2 linked regions of the Cricetulus griseus genome follow. The protein of the gene in region 1 purifies or fractionates together with the protein of each later gene. This does not show direct contact. Links are inferred from orthologs where the notes say so. Each region holds a gene or a part of one and is shown on either strand. Other genes may lie near its edges.

The links. Proteins that work in one complex are often made in the same cells at the same time.
Region 2: the proteins of Tox4 (region 1) and Ppp1cc purify together in Homo sapiens (affinity purification with mass spectrometry; 4 studies listed by BioGRID and IntAct, with this or other methods). This does not show direct contact. The link is inferred for Cricetulus griseus from reciprocal best matches to the Homo sapiens genes TOX4 and PPP1CC.

What each region holds. Positions count from the first base shown.
Region 1 is NW_023276807.1:207,374,019-207,384,514, forward strand, and holds the start of Tox4 (TOX high mobility group box family member 4), read left to right. Parts: upstream 1-3,852; 5' UTR 3,853-3,989; coding exon 3,990-3,995; intron 3,996-4,182; coding exon 4,183-4,251; intron 4,252-10,496. Other genes in the region: Rab2b (ras-related protein Rab-2B), read right to left, coding at 3,254-3,325, 3,547-3,592. UniProt on the Homo sapiens protein: Transcription factor that modulates cell fate reprogramming from the somatic state to the pluripotent and neuronal fate. In liver, controls the expression of hormone-regulated gluconeogenic genes such as G6PC1 and PCK1.
Region 2 is NC_048597.1:102,004,923-102,015,397, reverse strand, and holds the start of Ppp1cc (serine/threonine-protein phosphatase PP1-gamma catalytic subunit), read right to left. Parts: upstream 6,052-10,475; 5' UTR 5,830-6,051; coding exon 5,775-5,829; intron 1-5,774. UniProt on the Homo sapiens protein: Protein phosphatase that associates with over 200 regulatory proteins to form highly specific holoenzymes which dephosphorylate hundreds of biological targets.

The sequences.
Region 1 (10,496 bases):
ACAATCAGTTGATTTATTATAAGGCCTTATAATAATGACTAAGATTCTAGATTATCTTTATGAGCCTTAAGAAAAGCGACAGATGTTGGGCAGAGGTGGTGGTGCACATCTTTAATCCTATCACTTGGGAAGCAGATACAGGCAGATCTTAGTGAGTTCTAGGCCAGCCTGATCTACAAAGTGAGTTCCAGGACAGCCAAGACTGTTGCACAGAGAAACCCTGTTTCAAAAAACCAACCAACAAACCAAACAAACAAAAAACCAAAACCTAAACCCAGAGCAGTTACTATAACAATTTGCAAATAATGTCTGCAGAACCTGTATCCACTACAAAGTAAGTTCCAGGACATCAAAGTTACACAGAAAAACCCTGTCTCAATGAAAAACAAGAGAGAATGTACAGCCACTGTAGGGAAATTTTTGTGATAAATAGTTTCCATTAAATGAATTATAAAGCTACAATTCATAGAAAAAAATTGAGAAAATTTGCAATTATAGGAAAAATAAAACTAAAAAATAGATAATTAATTTTTTCTTTTCAGATTCATTTATTTGAGGCTGGAGAGACAGCTCAGCAGTCAAGAGCATAGGCTGGTCCTGTAGGAGCCTGGGGTTCAATTCCCGGGATCCACATGCAGCTCACAACTGTCTGTAACTCCAGTTCAGGAGATCTGACACCATCACAGAGACATGTATGTGGGCAAAACACCAACACACATAAAAAATCTTTGAAACAAAGATCTATTTGTTATGTATGCAGTGTTTTGCCTGCATGTATGCTTGCACACCAGAAGAGGGCACCAGATCTCATTATAGATGTTTGCACCCCCAAGAGGTAGATAAATTTTTAGAAATGTTATACTGAAATCTGACTATGTAATATTTAATTCAAAGGACTTCTAAACTGTTTGAAAGTTATTTTCTAGCTGGGCTTTGGTGGCACACGCCTTTAATTCCAGCACCTGGGAGTCAGAGGCAGGCGAATCTCTGTGAGTTCCAGGCTAGCCTGGTCTACAGAGTGAGTGCCAGGACAGCCTCCAAAGCAATACAGAGAAACCCTGCTGGAAAAAACAAAAAGTACTTCCTTTATTTTTAAGATTTATTTATTATATGCAGTGTTCTGCCTGCATGTATGTCTGTGCACCAGATCTCATTATGGATGCTTGTGAGCCACCATGTGGTTCCTGGGAATTGAACTCAGGATGTCTAGAAGAGCAGACAGTGCTCTTAACCTCTTTGCCATCTCTCCAGCCCAGTATTTCCTTCTTTCTTTTTTAGGCTTTTAAAGTTTTATGCATGTAAGTGTCTGCCTGCATGTAAGTATGTGTGCTACATGTGTGCCTGTTACACCTCCATGTGGAGGTCAGAAGAGGACAACAGATCCTTCTGCAACTGGAGTGACAGAGATTATGAGCTGCCATTCAGGTGCTGGCAATTGAACCTGGCAAGAGCAGCCAGTGCCCTTAGCCAGGGCTAAGTCATCTCTCCAGCCCCCTTGAAAGACTTTCTTGGCAGTGTCTCAGAATACCCACTAGTTCTATGTATGAAGCAGGACTTCTTTACTATAATTCTGAAATTATTTTCATTTGCAATTAAGAAAGTTGCCGGAGGCAGGCGGATCTGTGAGTTCAAGGCCAGTCTGGTCTACAGAGCAAGTTCTGGGACCACAAGGCTGTCTTGAAAAGCCACAGAAAGAAAGAAGGAAAGAAAGAAAGGAAGGAAGGAAGGAAGGATTATTAACCAGAAATAGCCTATCTCAAAGCAGTTTGGAAACTGGCAAACTGATAAGGCTTTTGACATTCTTCTATTTCAAGGTAAAATTCACCTCAATATTTCAAAAACAGTCCTGTTAAAAACATTGCATCATAAGTCAGACAATTCCTCCCCTTTTCTATTTTCATACAGTATTTTGCACATAGCACAAGGAATTCAGATTTTCAAGATTACTAATCTAGTTTACCTTCAGGAATGCTATAATACCAATTCAGTCATCCTATGTAGATATCCTTTCCCTATATAGAATATTTCTACTTTAAGGTGCTATAATCTATAAGAAAGATATAGAAATCGCTTCTGGCTATTACCTCAATAAAAATCAAAAGTTACTTTTTGAAAAAACATCAGTCAATTTTTCTTTCTTTCAGAAAAGTTAAGAATGTAATTTCGGGGGCTGGAGAGATGTCTCAGAAGTTAGGAGCACTGGCTCTTCCAGAGGACCTGGATTCAATTCCCAGCACCCATATGGCAGCTCCCAACTGTCTGTGACTACAGTTCCAAGGAATCTAGCACCCTCAAACAGAAGGTAAAACACCAATTCATATAAAATAGAAATAAATTATTTTTAAAAAGAATGTAATTTTAATGAGTAAGAAACTAAAACACTGGGGCTGGAGAGGTGGCTCCAAAGTTAAGAGCACTTCACTGCTCTTCCCGATGCCCTGAGTTCAATTCCCAGCACCCTCTTCTGGTGTGCATGAAGACAGAGCACTCATATTCATAAAACACACACACAAATAAATAAATAAACTAAAACAACAACAAAAACCAAACAAACAAAACAGGCTGAGCACATCTAATCCCAGCATTTATGAGATGGAGGCAGTAAGATCAAGGCCTGTTCAAGGTCATCTTCAGATTACTCATGGAGTACAAAGCCAGTCTTCAAAAAACAAAAACAAAAACTTATTAAGCCTGTGATGGTGCATGCCCCTAATCACAGCACTTGGAGGCTGAGGCAGAAGGATATCTGGGAATTCATGGCCAGTGTGGAATACAGAGTGAATCTGAGGCTAGCCTGGACTACATAGCCAGAACTTGTCTCAAAAAAGAGGAGGAAGGACTGAGATGACTCTTAAATTGGCTTTATCCTCTCCAACACAAAAAGAATCGATGTCGGAGTTTACTTCGAAAAACATGTGAGGTTGGTAGTTAACCACAAACTACAGATGAGTTTCTGAATAAGCAGTTGTGTTTTCGTGGGATTTTTTTTTTTTTTTTGCAGAAACATACAAGTTGCATTTAAAGAAAAATTCCTATGACAACTAGTGTTTATCTCACATCCCTCTCTAACGTTACCTTTCCATTATTTACCCTCTATTTACCGGCTTCTATCATTTTTCATATGGCACGGCTTAGGTCTAAGGCGGGGAGGCGCAACTTTTTCCTTAGAATACTGAGACTGTTAACTTTCTCCTTCAGCAGTTCAGCCAGCCAGCTTTTATCTATCTGTTCTGGAACGAGGGGATACGCTTACCTATTGTGAGGTCGTGCACAGGCTGGAACCGCTTATCGGTGAACTGCAGGAGGAGACATGACTTCCCCACACCTGAAAACAGACAGTGCGGAGTAGGCACGCCACCCGGGAAACCGCGGGCTCCCAGGCGGGGCACAGGGTCTAAGGAAAAGACAGAGCCCCGCCCCCGGAGTTCGCCCCGCCCCCTCCGCGCCACTCCGCTCGCCCGGCCCACTCGTCCCGCCCCGCCCCCAGGCCGATTTTGGAGGTGGGATCCCCGCCCAAGCCCCGAAGGCGGTCCACCTGCGGGTTACCTGTGTCTCCGATGATGATGTACTTGAAGAGATAAGCGTAAGTCATGGTCCCGAGGCGTCTGTGTTCCGGTCCGCCTGATTTCTACAGCCACTTACCTCCGTCCTCTCTAGCCACTCACTCTACCGATCTCCTTATTTGCCTCCGCTCCAGCCCTTCTAGCTCAGGCCGCGTCTCTATTGCTCTCCCCAGAAATCCTCCCTGGATCCGGAGTACCCGACGCCGCCTCTAGGGCCGCCCCGCGCTCTTCTACATGCCATTATCCCACCAAGCTCCAGGGGGCGACAGCGAGCCTTCGGGCAGCTCGAATCGCGACTGGTTCGGCCAGGACTCCGTCCAATCAGCGGAGAGCGACGCTCCTCTTTGAGGAAGTGACGCGTTCGGAACCCAGTGGGTCCGGTGGGAGCGATGCGGACACTGGGACGCTGGTAGTGGTGCTGTGAAGATGGAGGTACGCGCGGGGGGTCTGGAGGGTTGACGAGCAGCGCGGCCGACTAGATGGAAGCAGAAGCGGGAAGCCGGACAGCGGGGAGCGAGGGGTGCTCGGGAGGGCTGGGAGGCCCGGGGTCCCCGCGCGCCCCTGCTTCGCTCACTTATCCCCGTGGCTTTTTATTTATTTATTTGTTTTTGGTTTACAGTTTCCCGGAGGAAATGACAATTACCTGACCATCACTGGGCCCTCGCATCCTTTCCTGTCAGGGGCCGAGGTGAGCAAAAGCTGCCGACGCTGGGGCGCGGGAGGGCCTAGGCAGCGGTTGGGGCCGGACGGTGGGGGAGAGCGCGGGGGCGGACGGGAGCTGGGGAGGACAGTGGCCGAGGCTTCGAGAGCCTCTGAGGACTCTGAGCGGTGCGGTGGGGGGACGAACGGGAAGCGTCTGTCATCAGAAAACCAGGATGTTGAAGAGCTTCACTGCCTGTTTAAGGAAGGAGTCCGGTTCTGAATGTGGAGAACGAGTGGGATTGTCTGCCCTGGTTCGGGTGAAGTAGTTGCAACAATCTTGGGAAGATAGCAAGGAAGAAATTTGTTTTTTTTTTTTTTTCAGTAAAGAAAACCTGATAAGAAAGTAGTTTATGTAGCAGGGGTTAACCTCGGACAGGTGTTAATTCTTGAACTCTGTAAGTGGTCTTTTAAACTTGAAATTTCTGATAAAAGTGGCTACTTTCACCAACGTGGTTTCTGCTCGCTTTGCTAATGAAGGATAGAAGGAAAGAAATAGCCGCCAGAGAACATAAAAAGAGTAGAGTATACCTTGTTTGCCAGTGAGTACAAACTTTGAGCAGATAACTTCACTTTTGGATCACAGTTGTCAAGTTAACTATAATAATAGGGTTTGTTTTGTTTTGCCTTTTTTTTTTTTCCTCCAAGCCAGGGTTTCCCTGTGTAGATTTGGTGCCAGTCCTAACACTCCCTCTGTAGACCAGGCAGGTCTTGAACTCTCAGAGATCCGCTTGCTTGTTTTGCTTTTTAAAGATGGTGTGAAGTAGAAATAATGATTGATGGAGACTGTAAGACAGCAATTCACAACCGGTGAGTCAGGACCCTTGGGGAGTCGAGTGACCCCTTCACAGGAGTTGCATGCCAGATATTTACATTGTGATTCATAACAGTTGCAAAATTACAGTGTGAAGTAGCAACAATATAATTTTATAGTTGGGGGGTCATCTCAACATGAGGAACTATATTAAAGGGTCACAGCATTTGGAAGGTATTCGTCATCTCTGGCAGTCTGCTAGTTTATTTTTTAATTTACAATTATTGAATGTTTTCCTAAACAAGGGAAAGTGTGATTCAAATGAATGGCAAAATTGGAAAGAAACTCAATCTTGAACTTGTTCCTTCCAAGTGAGGTTTAGTTTTATTGTTTGAAGTGCCATAAATCTCATTGTCATTATTCATAGGAAAATGCATTTAAAAAGCAAATACAAGCAATTACAAATGTAGTGTTACACACCTTTAATCCCAGCACTTGGGAGGCAGAGGCAGGTAGATCTCTTTTGAGTTTGAGGCCATCCTGGTCTACATAGTGAGTTCCAGAACTGCTAGAGCTACATAGAGAGATTCTGTCTCAAAAAAAAAAAAAAAAGTAAACACAGTTTTCAAATTCATCCCACCAGCCCTTTTTATGGAGTTGAATAGTCAAAAAGCAGTTACATGAGAGATGGCACCTTTTACATCCAGGGAGCTATGGCTGGATAGTGGAGCCTTCCACCTGCTGTGTTCCAGAACCTTGATCTACGGCACTGACCGAAAAAGGAAGGAAATTTCCAGGCTTTCATCAGCCCTTCATTTTTAGTGAGAGAAGGGGACGCACAACTAAATTTTTTTTTAAAGATTTATTTATTTATTTATTTATTTTATCTATTATGTATACAACATTCTGCTTCCATATATATCTGCACACCAGAAGAGGGCACCAGATCTCATTGTGAGCCACCATGTGGTTGCTGGGAATTGAACTCAGGACCTCTGGAAGAGCAGTTGATACTCTTAACCTCTGAGCCATCTCTCCAGCCCACACAACTAAATTTTAAGCTTAATTTCAGTAGCTTCCTTTAAGCCTAGGTACTGCTATTGGGTTTGTTTTTTTGTTTGTTTTGAGACAGGGTTTCTCTTTGTAGACCTGGCTGTCCTGGAACTCACTCTGTAGACCAGGTGAGCCTTGGACTCTTAGATCTGCCTGCCTCTGTCTTGAAAGTGCTGGGTTTAAAGACCAACACTGCCTGGCCTGTTAATTTACAACTCTTACTCCTTCTTATTTCTATCCCTCTTGTGGTGAATTTTTTTGTTTTGTTTTGTTTTTCGAGACAGGATTTCTCTGTGGCTTTGGAGGCTTGTCCTGGCCTACTAGCTTTTGTAGACCAGGCTACAGGAACTCACAGAGATCCACCTGCCTCTGCCTCCCGAGTGCTGGGACTAAAGGCATGTGCCACCACTGCCTGATAGTGGTGGTGAATTTTTAAATTATTTTGTTTTTGTTTTGAGGGGATGGTTTCACTATGTAGTCTTGACTTGAGTCAAACTCAATATGTGACCTGGCTGGCTTTTTATCTGCCTTTGCTTCCTGAATACTGGGATTAAAGGTGTCTTACACACCACCATGCCTGGCTTTTAATCTTTTTTTTTTTTTCTCAGAGTTTTTTTTTTTTTTTTTTTTTTTTTTTTGAATTAGAAACAAGATTGTTTTATATGGCAATCCCAGTTCCCTTCTCCCTCATCCTCCCTACCATGCTCCCCTCCCCAACTAAAACCCTACCTATCACATATCCTTTCTGCTCCTCCTGCATGGTGAGGCCTTCCATAGGGTGTCATCAGAGTTTATCGTATCCTTTGGGATAGGGCCTAGGCCCACCTGGCTTTTAATCTTTACATTAATGGGTGTAAAAGTTTTGTTGTCTTCGGTCTTACTTTGAGCCTTGTGAATAACTTAAAAGAGGGTGACTTTTTTTTTTTTTTTAAGCAATCCTTTTTTTGAAGAATGGTAGTTTTTCAAGTTGTTTTTTTCCAAAAAGAACAATAGCTGCTCATATAGGATACCAACCATAAAATAATTGAAAAATTCCATTGTGTTCAAGTTAGGAACTCTATATCAAAAGGCATCGTTATAGGGCTAGAGAGATGGATCAGCGGTTAAAGCACTGACTGTTGTTACAGAGTATCTGGATTCAGTTCCTAGCATCCACACGATAGGACAAAAAGGCCTGTAACTAGTTTTCACACCCTCTTCTGACCTCTGTAGGCACTGCACACATGCAGAACACAGGCATACATGCAGGCAAAACATTCATTTATATAAGTAAAAATAAGTATTGCTGCTTTTTTTTTTTTTTGATGGCATTGAGGCTAAAGATATTGCTGAGAAATTTAAAGCCTTTGTTGCTCTTACAGAGGACCCAGTTTTAATTTCCAGCATACACGTGGTGGTTCACAACCATCTATAACTTCAGTTCCAGGGGATTTGATTCTCTTTTCTAGCCTCTGTGAGCACTAGACACGAATATGGTGCTGATACATACCCATACATATAAACTAAATCAAAAGGAGTGATGGCAAAAGCCTTTAACTCCAGCACTTTTCAAGGCAGAAGCAGGCAGCTATCTGTGAATTCAAGGCCAGCCTGGTCTTCAAATTGAGTTCCAGGACAGCCAGGACTGTTATGCAGAGAAACTCTTGTCTTAGAACCTCCTCCCAAAAAAAGACATTATAACTACATGTATGAAATTTGTGTTTATAAATAAATTATAATTACATGTACAGAATTTCATATATGAAATTCTGAAAAAAATTAGAAAAGATATCATTAACAAATAGGAGCTCTAGAAGAGAAGATATTTATAATACTCACATGTAAGTCATATTTAGAATATATGAAGCACTAGTACAGTTTGAAAATGAACACGTTTGGTTTTTTTTTATAATCTATTTTTATTTCTTGTACATTGGTGTTTTACCTGAGTGTATGTCTGTGTGAGGGTGTCAGGTTCCCTGAAACTGGCGTTACAGCTGTGAGCTGAATTGAACCTAGGTCCTCTGGAAGAGCAGTCAGTGCTCTTAACTGCTGAACTATCTCTCAGTCCCGAAAATGAACAGAAATTTCAACAGTCAATTCACAAAGAGTCCATCCAAACTGCCACTAGGTATATGAAAATTTTCCATTTAAAAGAATGAGGAGTGTCAGCGGGGCCGTGGTGGCACATGCCTTTAATCCTAGCACTTGGGAGGCAGAGGCAGGTGGATCTTTGTGAGTTTGAGGCCAGCCTGGTCTTCAAAGAGAGTTCCAGGACAGTCTCCAACCCTACAGAGAAACCCTGCCTTGAAAAACCAAAAAAAAAAAAAGTGTCAGAGAGAAAGGAGTAGTATTATTGCACTGCTTCAGATAGGAAGCTTGTGTATTTGCAGATTTAGTCTTCTGTTTCTCTCCGTTTGGTTGGCTCATAGTGCTTTGTATGTGACCACTACTTTTAATCCCAGAACTCAGGAGGTTGGGAGGGGGGCAGTTCTCTGCCTTCCAGGCCAGCTAGTCTATTTCTGTTATATCAGATTTTCTTTTCAGTTTCATTGTTGGCTCTTATGAGATAGGGTCTCATCTAGCCAAGGCTGGCCTCCAATTCCCCATGTAGCTGAAGGTGATGCTGACTTTCCTAACCCTTTGGTTTCTACCTTCCAGTTCAGTGGTTCTTTAACCTGTGGGTCTCAACCCCTTTGGGGGTTGAACAACCCTTTTACAGTTCATAACAGCAAAATTACAAAGTAGCAATGAAGATAATTTTATGGTTGGGGTCACCACACAGGAGGAACTGTATTAAAGGATTGCAGCATTAGGAAGGTTGAGGACCACTGTTCTAAGTGCTGGGATTGTAAGTGTGCATCGTCACACCTAGTGTACTGTGTTGTTGTTGTTAGTTAGTTGTTTTTTTTTAATTATTTTATGTGCATTGGTGTTTTACCTGCATATATGTCTGTGAGGGTCCCCTGGAACTGGAGTTATAGACAGCTGTGAGCTGCCATGTGTGTACTGGGAATTGAACCTGGGTTCTCTAAAGAGCAGTCAGTGCTCTCAACTACTGAGCCATTTCCAGCCCTGTATTCTATTTTTAAAAATAAAGTTTTTTCAGGACAGGGTTTCTCTGTATAGCTTTGGGGACTGTCCTGGAACTCTCTCTGTAGACCAGGCTGTCCTCAAACTCACCTGCCTGCTTCTCTGCCTCCCAAGTGCTAGGACTAAAGATAGTGACTCCACTGCCCGGCTTTAAAAATAATTTTAAGGATCCATAATAACTACATTATAGGATAAATTAGGTGTTAATGTCAATTTCTTTAAAATGAATATACAAGAAATTTTTTTTAATTAAAATTTTTATATGTATGGGTATTGTGCCTGCAAGTATGTCTGTGTACAACACACTTGGTGCCCATGGAGGTCAGAAGAGGATATGAGATCTCTTGGGACTAGAGTTAAACAAAGTTGTAAGCTACCATGTAGGTGCTGGGAATAGACCCTAGATCCTCTGGAAGAGCAGCCAGTGTTCTTAACCACTGAGCTATCACTTTTATCTCCAGTAAAGTGTTTTTTTTTAAATACTGGATGGTTAATATATGGATCAGTTTAGAGTATAGTATATGGCAGGCTCTGGGTACAAGCCTCAGGGCAAATGAAAGATGATAGAAAACAGAGATCGGATGAGAAGAGGTGGGAAATGGTAGTTTTCATGTTTGTTTCTCAAAGTCATTTGAGTGTATGTATGTATGTGTGCATGCAGAGGACAGAAGGCGTTTGAACCCCTGGAGCTAGAGTTAAATAAAGGTGGTTGTGAGCCACCAGAGTGGGTGGTGAAAACTGAGCCCCAGTCCTCTTCAGAAGCAGCAAATGCTCCTAAGTGCTGAGTCATCTCTCCTGCCCCTCCTTCACTCAGTATCTAAGCATCCTTTATTATTATTTTAATTGCATTACATTTTATTTACTATGTGAGTTCTCTTTCTTTCCCTCCCCTTCCTCCCTCTTTCCTCTCTTCTGCTCTCCCAAAAGGGTTAGAGGTGGGAAGTGGGTCCTCTTCCTTTACCATTGTTTTCTTGAAATAGGGTCTTTACTGGATTTATGGCCTGATACTAATTATATAGCCAGCCTGGCCTGATAGTTATGGTAATCTTCGTGGCTCAGTCTCCTGCACACTGAGATTATAGTGTGCACCACTTTGCCAGACTACAATCTCTTTTTTTATAGATAAGGAAAACCTGCTCAAGGTTATAAGCTGAGAGTTCTTTCTACAAAGCCTCTCACTTATTACTTATAACACTTCGTTGCTACAAATGCTTTTGTTATAGTTTTTTAGTGCCACAGGAAACTGTCAAATACATCTTAAGTTAGACACTGCTGTTAGTTCTATGAATAGTGGCCCCATTCCTAATAGGAGGAGTGAAGCTGGGTGTGGTGGTACACACTTTTGATTCCAGCAG
Region 2 (10,475 bases), on another chromosome or scaffold:
CAAAAAGCAGCAGCACACAAAGAAGGAGTCAGCAGCCCTTGCTGTCTTGTGCCAAAACGGGACCCTAAAGCAGCAGTCAGCCAAGCACACCAGCAACTTTAGTCCCGGCACTGGGGAGGCAGGGTCAGGCAGATCTCTGTGAGTCCAAGGCCAGCCTGACCTACATACATAATGAGACCCTGTTTTTAAAACAAACAAACAAACAAACAAACAAACAAACAAACAAGTTACTTTAGCTGGGTGGTGGCGGCACACACCTGTAGCCCCAACACTTGGGGAGGCAGAGGCTGGTGGATCTCTATGAGTTCAAGGCTAGCCTGGTCTACACAGTCACTTCCAGGACAGGCTCCATAGCCACTGAGACACTGTCCCAAAACGAAGCCAAAACAAAACAAAAACCTGTTACTTTCATAGTATTTTAAAAATTGTTAGAAAAAGATTGAGGCCAGCCTGGTCTACAGAGAGAGTTCCACACAGCCAGGGCTATTAATACAGAGAAACCCTGTATCAAAAAACAAAACAAAAAGGATCTCAAACCAAATAAACTTAGTAAATGTTTGCAACACTGTACACTTTCTCATGAACAACAAGTTATTTTCTACAAAACATACAAGCTATAGAAACTTCCCAAGAACCCTCTTTTCCTCCCAACTACCAAAGGGAAGTACCTCTTCCCACCTCACTGTTGCACACCACCCCTGCCAGCTGGCTGCTGCCACCATGTACACTTTAACTCTGGCTTCCTGAATGTGGGCAATTGGGATATGCCTAAAAAAGCTCTTAGCACTTGAGAGGCAGAGGCAGGCAGACAGATCTCAGTGAGTTTGAGGCCAGTCTGGTCTCCGAAGTGAGTTCCAGTACAGTCAGAGCTGTTACCCAGAGAAACCCTGAAGAAGAAAGAAGCAGCAGCAGCAGCAGCTCTAGCCAAAAATTTCAAGGATGCCTCTTGTTTTCTATGCCAAACACAAAGCAACACACTGAAAACAGCGTATTTAGCCTAAACCAGGTATTGGGCCATCACCTCTGCAAAGTCATCCTTCAGGTGGGAGGCAGGAGGGTCAAAGAGTCCAAGGTCATTCTCAACTACAAAGGGAGTGGAAAGGCAGCATTAGAATATGTCTTGAAAGAAAAAGGTTGAACCTATCCACAGCTGAACATAATTGGGCATCAGTACCTTGCCCATCTGATCCTATGAATTTCTCTTTAGGGCTCTTGGGTAAGCCCTAAAATTACTCACACCCTTCAAAAATGGAGGGGGAAACATCCACAGAACCTATGAAGGCATATCTTGCCTCCACCCTCCTGACACACAGTTATGACCTCAAGATGAAGACAAAAATTCCTTCCAAGCCAGGCGTTGGTGGCGCACGCCTTTAATCCCAGCCCTCAGGAGGCAAAGGCAGGCGGATCTCTGTGAGTTCAAGGCCAGCCTGGTCTCCAGAGCGAGTGCCAGGATAGGCTCCAAAGCTACACAGAGAAACCCTGTCTCGAAAAACCAAGAGAAAAAAAAAAAAGGATCTGCTTTCTTTAAGGGGCCTCTGTGGGGTTTCTGTAGCTCCAAGGCAGTCCCCACCTGGGCCTTTCTCCCTCATATTTTTAGACTGAGAAGTATACCAGCAGCCCCAGCATTAATCAATTAAAGCCTAGGATTGCCCTGCTACCCCACGTCCCCCAAGCAAAGGGGCAGTCAGACTCTGGGAGTCATCCTTGCCAAAGTGGGTTTTTAAAAAAGGCCCCAAAGTACCTGCAGATCATGAGGGAAGGGAGGGAGTCCTGCTCTGCCTTCCAGGTGAGGGATGGGGGGGACACACCTGTCCATGCTGGGAAGCACAGGAAGTCCCTGTTAGAATTATCTTGCTGTGGACTCTGCTCAGTTTTAAGATCTGCTTCAATACAGCCAAGCCCATGGTCCTCACTTATCTTTCCTATAGGACCTTAACTACAGGCTTCTGAACCTACAGAACAGGAGCACTGAATAGCCACACACAGATTTGGAGACTTTTAGGACTTCAGACTGTCTTCAGAAAGATGAGAATTGGCAAGCACTCTGTATTAACGCAGCCACTTCTCCTGACCTTCCTTTACAAAAACATACTTTTTAAAAAATGGGTTTTTCATGACAGGGTTTCTCTGTGTAACAGTCTTGGCTGTCCTGGAACTCACTGTGGAGACCAGGCTGGCCTCTAACTCACGGTCTGCCTCTGCCTCCCAAGTGCTGGGATTAAAGGTGTGCACCACCATGGCCATGGCCTGGCTAAGAAACACACTTCTTGCCCACTCAAGATGTGAAGCAATTACAAACACTTAGTACTCAAGAAAAATGCTAGAGGTTTCACGAAGAAAGTGCCCCAATTCCACGCACTCCCCCTTTAACCAATACAACAGAGCAGGAGGCCAGGCCAAACCCAGCTAGCCTATTTCCTATTTAAATCTGTTCTGCTTGAACATAGAGCTGGCAACGTGCTAACACCAGAATGTGCTATAGAGTAACAGACCTTCCATCAGAGTAGCTGACCACACAGGGACGGGGCTCAGGAGAAAGCTACTGCAGTTAGAGTGCTGCAAAGCACTAGTGTTTACCATCCAACCCCAATTTCCCATTATTTGTTTTGTCAGACAAGGTCTCTGTGGTCCAAGCTAGCCTTGACCTCCTGATTCCACCTAAGTGCCTGGGACTACAGGTTTATACCATGTCACTATTTAGCCTTGGGTGGCCTGGATGGAATTTATTCTGTAAACCAGGCTGGATTTGAAAGTGTTCCACCTGCTTCTGCTTCCCAGTACTGAGATTAAAAATGTGTCACCATGTCCAGGTTAAAATTTATCTTTAATCATCTGTCTGTACAAGTTACGACATGTATGTATGTATGACATGTATGTATCGGGGGGCCAGGTGTCTCATCTTCTAGAGCTGGAATAGCAGGCACTGAGCTGCCCCATGTGCTGGTAATTGAGCTTGGATCCTCTGGAAGAATAACATGCTCTTAACCATCTCTCCAGCCCTTGATTTTTTGAGACAGGGTCTCACTATGGATAGCTGGCTGGCATGGAATTTGGTGTGTAGACCAGGTTGGCCTCCCAGCTCACCGCTCTGGGATGAAGGAGTGTGCCACATGGCCACACCTCATTATTAAAGACCCTGTCCCATCTCGTTCATACAGCCCTCGCTTGCAAAGCCCTTTCTCAGCTCGTTCATAGCTCTTAAGTTTGGGAGTTCTTGAGGAAGGGTTCCAACTGTGAGACAGATATTGCTATCCAACACAGCCTGGCCTAGAATGTCTGCATTTCCGTGTCCCAGGCTCCAGAGTGTTGGGGCAGTAAGGTGCCCAACTACAAAAGAATCAATTATCAATTGGAAAAAATGCCTCATCAAGTGACAAATCTTATCTCCACCTTTTGGAATTAAACCCTGAATTTCATTTTACTATGTAGAGGTGTGCAAGTACACACTTGCTGGGAGCGTTTGGGGAGGGAGGGAAGCAGGCGAGAGTCTGGTTCTCCTCTCAAGTTCTTGTGGGTCCTGAGGATCAAATCAGGTCTTCGTGGTTAAGGGCAGAGCCACTAATTATCAGCTGAGCCATCTCTAGAGTCTATGAATTACTTAAATCTCACTCCCAGTGTTCAGAGATGACGGCCCTAAAGATGGTACACAAAGTAGAGAGAGCACAACACCACATTCTCTAATGGAGAAGCACACACATCCTCAACAGAAGGCTGTGGTTTTGTTAAGTTCACATACAGAAATAAGAAGAAACATATACTGTGCAACTAGCTTATTCTCAAAGCATTTAAATATAGTATCCTACTCTATTAAGTTCAAAAGAAAATAAAAAACCAGCCTGGACATGGTGGTAAAGTCTCCAATTCCAACACTTATAGGAGGCAGAGGCAGGCAGATCTCTGTAAATCTCAGGTTAGCCTTTGCTTGGTAGTGACACTCAGTCTCAAAATTTAAAAAGTAACATTCAAGAAACTATAGGGGCCCATCAATGGTGGCACACACCTTTAATCCCAGAGCTGAGTTCAAGGCCAGCCTGATCTATGTAGAAAAAAGCTGTCTTCAAACCTGTTCCCCCCATAAAAAAAAAAGAAAAAAGAAGGGGGGGCTGAGGTGATGGTTCAGCAGCCAAGAGCACTTGCTGCTCTTGGGGATAACCCTGGCTACGCTCCCAGCACAGATAGTGGCTCACAACCATCTAACTCCAGCCCCAGAGGACCCAATGCCCCTTTCTAACCTCCTTGGTTATAGGCATGCATGTGGTAAACACATACATATGAAGACAAAGCTTAAAACATAAAATCTAAAAACAAAAATTTTTAAAGGGGGAGAAAGGAAAGCTGATGAAGCAAGCCTACACAAAGATAAGAACAAACTACACACACCCAATTGTCCTCTAATCCCGGGTGCTGTGGCCTGGGTGCACTCACACACATCCCATGTGAAAAATAAATTTAAAAACAAAAGATGAGCCAAGTTTACTGCTAAAACTTTTTCAGCATAGTGTTAAACATAAAAAAAAAAAAAAAAAAAAAACACAACGAAATCTGAGCTGGGGATGCAGCCCAGGTGATGGAATGCTTACTCAGCGTGTAGGAAGAAGCCTTGGGTTCAATCCTCAGGACTTCATAACCCAGGCTTGGTGGCTTATAACTTCTAGTACTTGGGAGGAGGCACAAGGATCAGGAGTTCAAGGCCAGTTCTGGCTCTGTGGGACTTTATCTAGGGGAAATGATGATAAAAGCCTTTAATCCCCAGCACTCAGGAAGGGGAGGCAGAGGGATCTGAGAGTTTGAGGCTAGCCTGATCTACACACATCGAGCTCCAGGACAGCCAGGACTGCAGAGACCCTGTCTCAACAAAGCCAAAAACAAAAAAGACCCGATCTAAACAAAGCAATAAAATAAAGTATTAGGGGAGAAAATGCACAGATTAAAAAGACACTTTTTACTTTTCTTTCAATGACTCTGCAGCTGTTCACCACCACCACTCACGGCATGTTTCTTACACGCCAACAGTATTTTAGGCAAAAGCAGCAAAAGCCAGCTAGTTAATAACATTGTCAAGAACCCAATCAGCATTAGGTCGGGAATTGTGGGGAGTCCCTATGTCATATTAATCTCTCACCAACTAGGAACCCACTGCAGCGCCCCCCACCCACCCCGTCATAAGTCGGACAAAAGAAAAGATTTTTAACCTTCCCTTAGCCACTAGGCACGCATGCCCTGCGCTCCCACAGGGTGAACAGTGGAAGAGGGCAGGCAGGTCGTGTCTAGACCTTGGCTACCAGGGGTTTGAAGCGGGACTCGCCCTTGGTCAGGCGAGGTCTTTTAAGTTTCTTCCAAGATAACAGCACCTACCTGGCAGGGCGCTCGCTGAATGCAGCAGCGCGCCCCTCTCCTCGGGACAACAATCTGATGAGCAGAGAGCCACAGACACTGTCACCCCGGTCGCGGCTCGGCCCGTGTGCGGATGCACGTTCAAGGGGAAAGAGCGCCGGAGGGAGGATGGCTTTTTTTTGGGGGGGGGGGATGCAAGGGACGGGGCTCTCGTCGCCCCGGGACGTCGCCCCGCCAAGTCACACTGGGTCCTTGGACTCCAGATTTATCACAATGTGAGAGCAAGGGCAGGAGAGGCAGTAATAAAAACAAGGGGTCTGTCCCTAGACCCGGAGGCGCTGTGTGCGCGCCCCAGATCCAAGCGGCTTCCGAGGACCGGTCCCCACCGGGCCTGGTCCCACCGGCCCCGCCCGCCCGCCCGCCCGCGCGCCGCTCACCTTCCAGCAGCCGTTGGATGATGCTGTCGATGTTGAGTTTATCGATATCCGCCATCGCCGTCCTGCCGCCGACCCTCCCGCAGCGGCGCCGCCGCCGGCTCGCGCCCGGGCCTCACACGTCCTCCTTCCTCACGCCACGAGCCCCACGAGCGGTGGTGGCGGCGGCGGTGGCAGCAGCAGCCGCGGCGGGTCCCCCCCCCAGCCGCCCCGCTCCCGGCTTCCTCCTCCTCTCGCCACTGGAACCACGAGAAGAACAAAATGGCCGCCGACTCGTCAGGCCAGCCTCGGGCGGCGCACGGATGCGCGCGCGGGGAGTGCAGCGGCGGCCGGGACTTCAGGCCCATAGGGCGCGGGAGGGCGGGGCCGCTGCGGGAGGGGGCGGCCTTCGCGCTTCAGGGGCGGGGCCTGGCAGAGACGGTGAGACACCCATCCGCGCGCGGGATCCTTCCGCCAAACGGGCGGGGGGTGGGGGTGGGGGACGGGAGTGGAGGGTGGGGCGGGGAATAGACCCCCACCCCCACCCTCCACCCCCCCGCCCCCACCCCCACCCCCACCCCACCCCCCGCGGGAGAGTGAAGTTGCAAAGTTGGCGCGCGCGCGAGTTAAAGACGGGTATTGTCCGGCGGCTGCTCGTTGCTAGAGTTAAGATCTCCTCCCGGTGCTGCTGATTTGGGGCAGATGTCTGCAGACTCGGCGGGGTGGGAGCTCACCAGGGAGTCAGTCACCCACCCCTCGGAACCAATCTGGGTTGGAGATGTCCATGGAGGATCTTTAGGAGAAGGAAGTTGGAGGGTCGAGGATTCAAATATGCCGGCTCATATTGGTGAGCAAGAAGAGCTGTATGTATGACTCTGTGGTATGAACGCTTGTCTAGTATGTGTGAGACCCTGGGTTCAATCCCCAGCACTGCCAAGATTTCGTAATACTGCAATAAAGTATCTAAGATCCAGTATTTGAAAAAAAGAAAGCCTCCCCCAGATAAAAGAAACGTTAGTCCATTGTGAGTAGTGCATAATTCAGTAACTGTGTACCTCTTGCGTGCACTTCTGCAGTTTTACATTTTAGGGAGAGGTTGGGAGACTTTTGTAAGGTGTCACCTATCTTTAGATTATCTTTCTTGAACTCAGAAAGTTATATAATAACCGTGATGTTCTCCCCTGGATTTAGCCTGAGCTGGATTGAATGAGCGCACGGCAGCAGATAAGATGGGAATTTGCGGAGGAAAGCGAGTTAGAGGCTGCTGTGCGCCCCGGGCTTCAGCACATTCTACTGCTGCTTGCCTCTGGTTTCATCGCCTCCCCGAGGGCACCCTTCTCCAGGGAGCCCCCAACTGTGCTGCCTCTCAGGCTAACTGGATCTGAAAATGCACACCCACCTGACCCATTTCTCTCTCCAAGCAGCCCTTCACAGTTTACAAAAATCCTCTTCCCCACCCCCCACTCCAAAAGCTCATGATTCTCAAAGCAAAAGGGATGCACGGATTCCCTTCCGTGTGTTCCTAGCAAGGTGGCTTCCCCATCTGGAGATTCATTTTCACCAGGCCACAGCAGCATGGCATGGGGTGCACCCTTGCAGATCTCTGGCCTCCTTTCTGCTGCTGGCGCCAACGGTGGAGCTTCTGGAGTCATCCCAGCTCCCCTCAACTGCCTGCACCATTTTACTCAGTCACCAACTTACTCTCCCAAGCTATGTTTTTGCCTACCAGTCCCACAAGTGTCATTTGTCACTCCAAGGCACCTGGCTCAGTAGACATCTTGACGTCTGGGGCCTATGCCAAGCCCTGCTGTGAATATCTTGTTTGGCTCTCAAGGAGTTTCTGGGACTTGGGCTCCTCTGGGGCAGAGTGTATCTTCCCAATGACACTTTGGGGACAGGGATATAAGACGGTTCCCTAAGGAGACAAATATTTACAGAGTGCCTACTCTGTTCCTGAGTTTTTTCTAGGCGTGGAGCAGGGTGAACAAAACAGAGGAAGCCTTTCTTTCTGAGGAAATTCATATAGAGACACTGCACTCTCATTTGTATGAGCCAAAAATTGTCTCGTTGTGCGAGCCAGCTAAATGGCTCAGTGGGTAAAGGTGATTGCCACCAAGCCTGCCAGCCCCAATACCCTAATGAAGAGAGGTTGTCCTCTGACCACCAAGCAGACATATATACAAAATAAATAAAATGTAATAAAATATTTTAATAAAAAAATTACCTCCAGGCTGGGCATGGTTGTATATGCCTTTAATCCCAGCACCGGGAGGCAAAGGTAGGCATATCTTTGTGAGTTTGAGGCCAGCTGCAGGCTAGGCAAGGCTCCAGAACAAAATCTTGTGTCAAACAAAGCAGAATCACCTCGTTGAATCCCCAATACAATCCCAGAGATTATATATCCCCATCATTCCCATTTTACAGATAAAGCTAGGCATAGAAAGGCTAGAAGGTTTGTTGAAGGTCACACAGCTGGTAAATTCCAGGGATAGCCTGAATCCACAGTCTTTTGTTTAATTAAATCCCTAAATGGAGCCTCAGGAGCCCAACAAACTGTGGCACACACTGTGTGCATTACTATGGGGAAACCAATGGAATACTCTAAATTTTATGCCCACACTGTCATAATTCTCTAGATGCCAAGCAGTAGGTGTGTAGGTCACTCAATCCATGCTCGGATAAAGGAAAATAACAGTGAGCCAGTACAGGGGACAATTTTTTGTCTATCAAGCAACCTCAAGGGACAGTTCCCCTCCAGAGTCCATAACCATGCCAGCATCAGAGAATTGGCTCTCTTGAGAGTGGTGGAACCCATAGCTGTTAGAGAATGACCTTCAGCTACTCCTCCTCCTGCCTCCACCTCCAGAATGTTGAAATTCTAGGTATGGCTGCCAAACCTGCTCTATTCCATACTAGAAAGAGCCCATGCCAGGAGACCACTCTACCAATACCGCCACATCACAGTCCCTATAGGAAGTCTGAACATACAGATTTTTGTTTTGTTGTGTTTTGTTTTCTCTGTGTAACAGCCTTAGCTCTCCTGGAACTCACTCTGTAGACCAGGCTGGCCTGGAACTCACAGAGATCCACCTGCCTCTGCCTCCCAAGTGTTGGGATTAAAGGCGTGTCCCTGAGAACATACAGATTTTTTAAATCTATATTTAAATCAATAGATCTGTCTGGTCTACAGAGTGAGTTCCAAGACAGCCAGAGCTGTTGCACAAAGAAAACCCTCTTGAAACAATAAACAAAGTTGGAGACGGCTCAGCGGTTAAGAGCACTGGCTGCCCTTCCAGAGGTCTCAGGTTCAATTCCCAGCACCCACATGGCAGCTCACAAATTGTAACTCCAGTTCCAAGGGATCTGATGCCCTCACACAGACATGACTTCAGGCAAAACCACAATGTACATAAAATTAAATTGTTAAAAGGGAGTTGCTGGAGAGATGGGTCATTGGTTAAGAGCACAGGACTGCTTCCTTCCTGTGACTCTGCTTCCTGGCCACCATGCCGCCATGAGCAGGCTAAGGACCAACAAGGAAGATCCTGATAAGGAAGTGCAAAGTGGTGTGGCCTCCTAAGGAAGGATACTCTGATATCATCTGCTTGCCTCTAGCTCCCTCACTGGATCCTGAAGAGTGGCATGGACTCATAAACTAAGGAATCTCCCCCTCTCCCAGGAGAACATCCAGGCCCTTCCTGATAAGGCCACACCAAACTCCATTGGTAATTACAAATTTGAGACTGCAGGGTAACAAACCTGTGAACGGAATCTTTCACCCTAGAAGCTCCTCTTCCCATACCCACCCCCACCCCCCATGCACAAGACCCATTCCCCTAAGAGATCGCTGCCCTTGTTCACATTGAAGGTCGTTTTCTTATTTTGTTTTATTCCCTGCCTCCATCGGACCGATGTAACAGGGCCCTCGAGGCTCTCTGTCTTGTTACCATCCCTCAGGCTGTGGGATCTGACCCGCTTTGACTGGGAACTGCTCTACCCCTGAGCTCCACCTCCCACCCCATTTCACTGATTTACTGAAAAGCCACAGTCTCACAAAGTTGCCAGGCTGACCTTGAATTTGTAGTCTTCTGACCTCATCGTCCATAGCAGTTGGAATGACAGACCTACCCCACCTGATCAGACCTGATTGCTAAAATATCTTCACCAATGGCAAAGAAACCCTGTCCCATTACCAGTCACCTCCCATCTTCTACTCTATCTCCTGGTAACTTCCAATCTGTTTCCTTTCTGTTTTGGTCTATTCTGGACATTGAATTTCATATGCTAGGTGGCTGTTCCTATCTTGCTACTAAGCAGAAACCTCGACATGCACCAAAGCTATGTCCATTTGTGTGACATCCCTTCATTTGCTAGTTCACATCCTTTTTTAGAAGCATAGGAACCCACAGTCAGGAATTTTTTTTTTAAGATTTATTTTTATTTTATGTGCATGCACTTTGGCCTGCATGGAGGTCAGAAGAGGGAATTGGGTCCTCTAGAACTGGTGTGATAGATGGTTATGAGCCACCATGTGGGTGCTGGGAATCAAACCTAGGTCCTCTGGAAAAGCAGCAAGTGCTCTTAACCACTGGGCCATCTCTACAGCCAGGAATGTTAATTGGCTGCCTCGGGTCCCAGCAGGCATGTGTTCCTTTTCCTTCCTATTTTAAATACTTATTTAATTAACTAGTTATCTATCCTTGTGCTCATGCTTGCCACAGCACA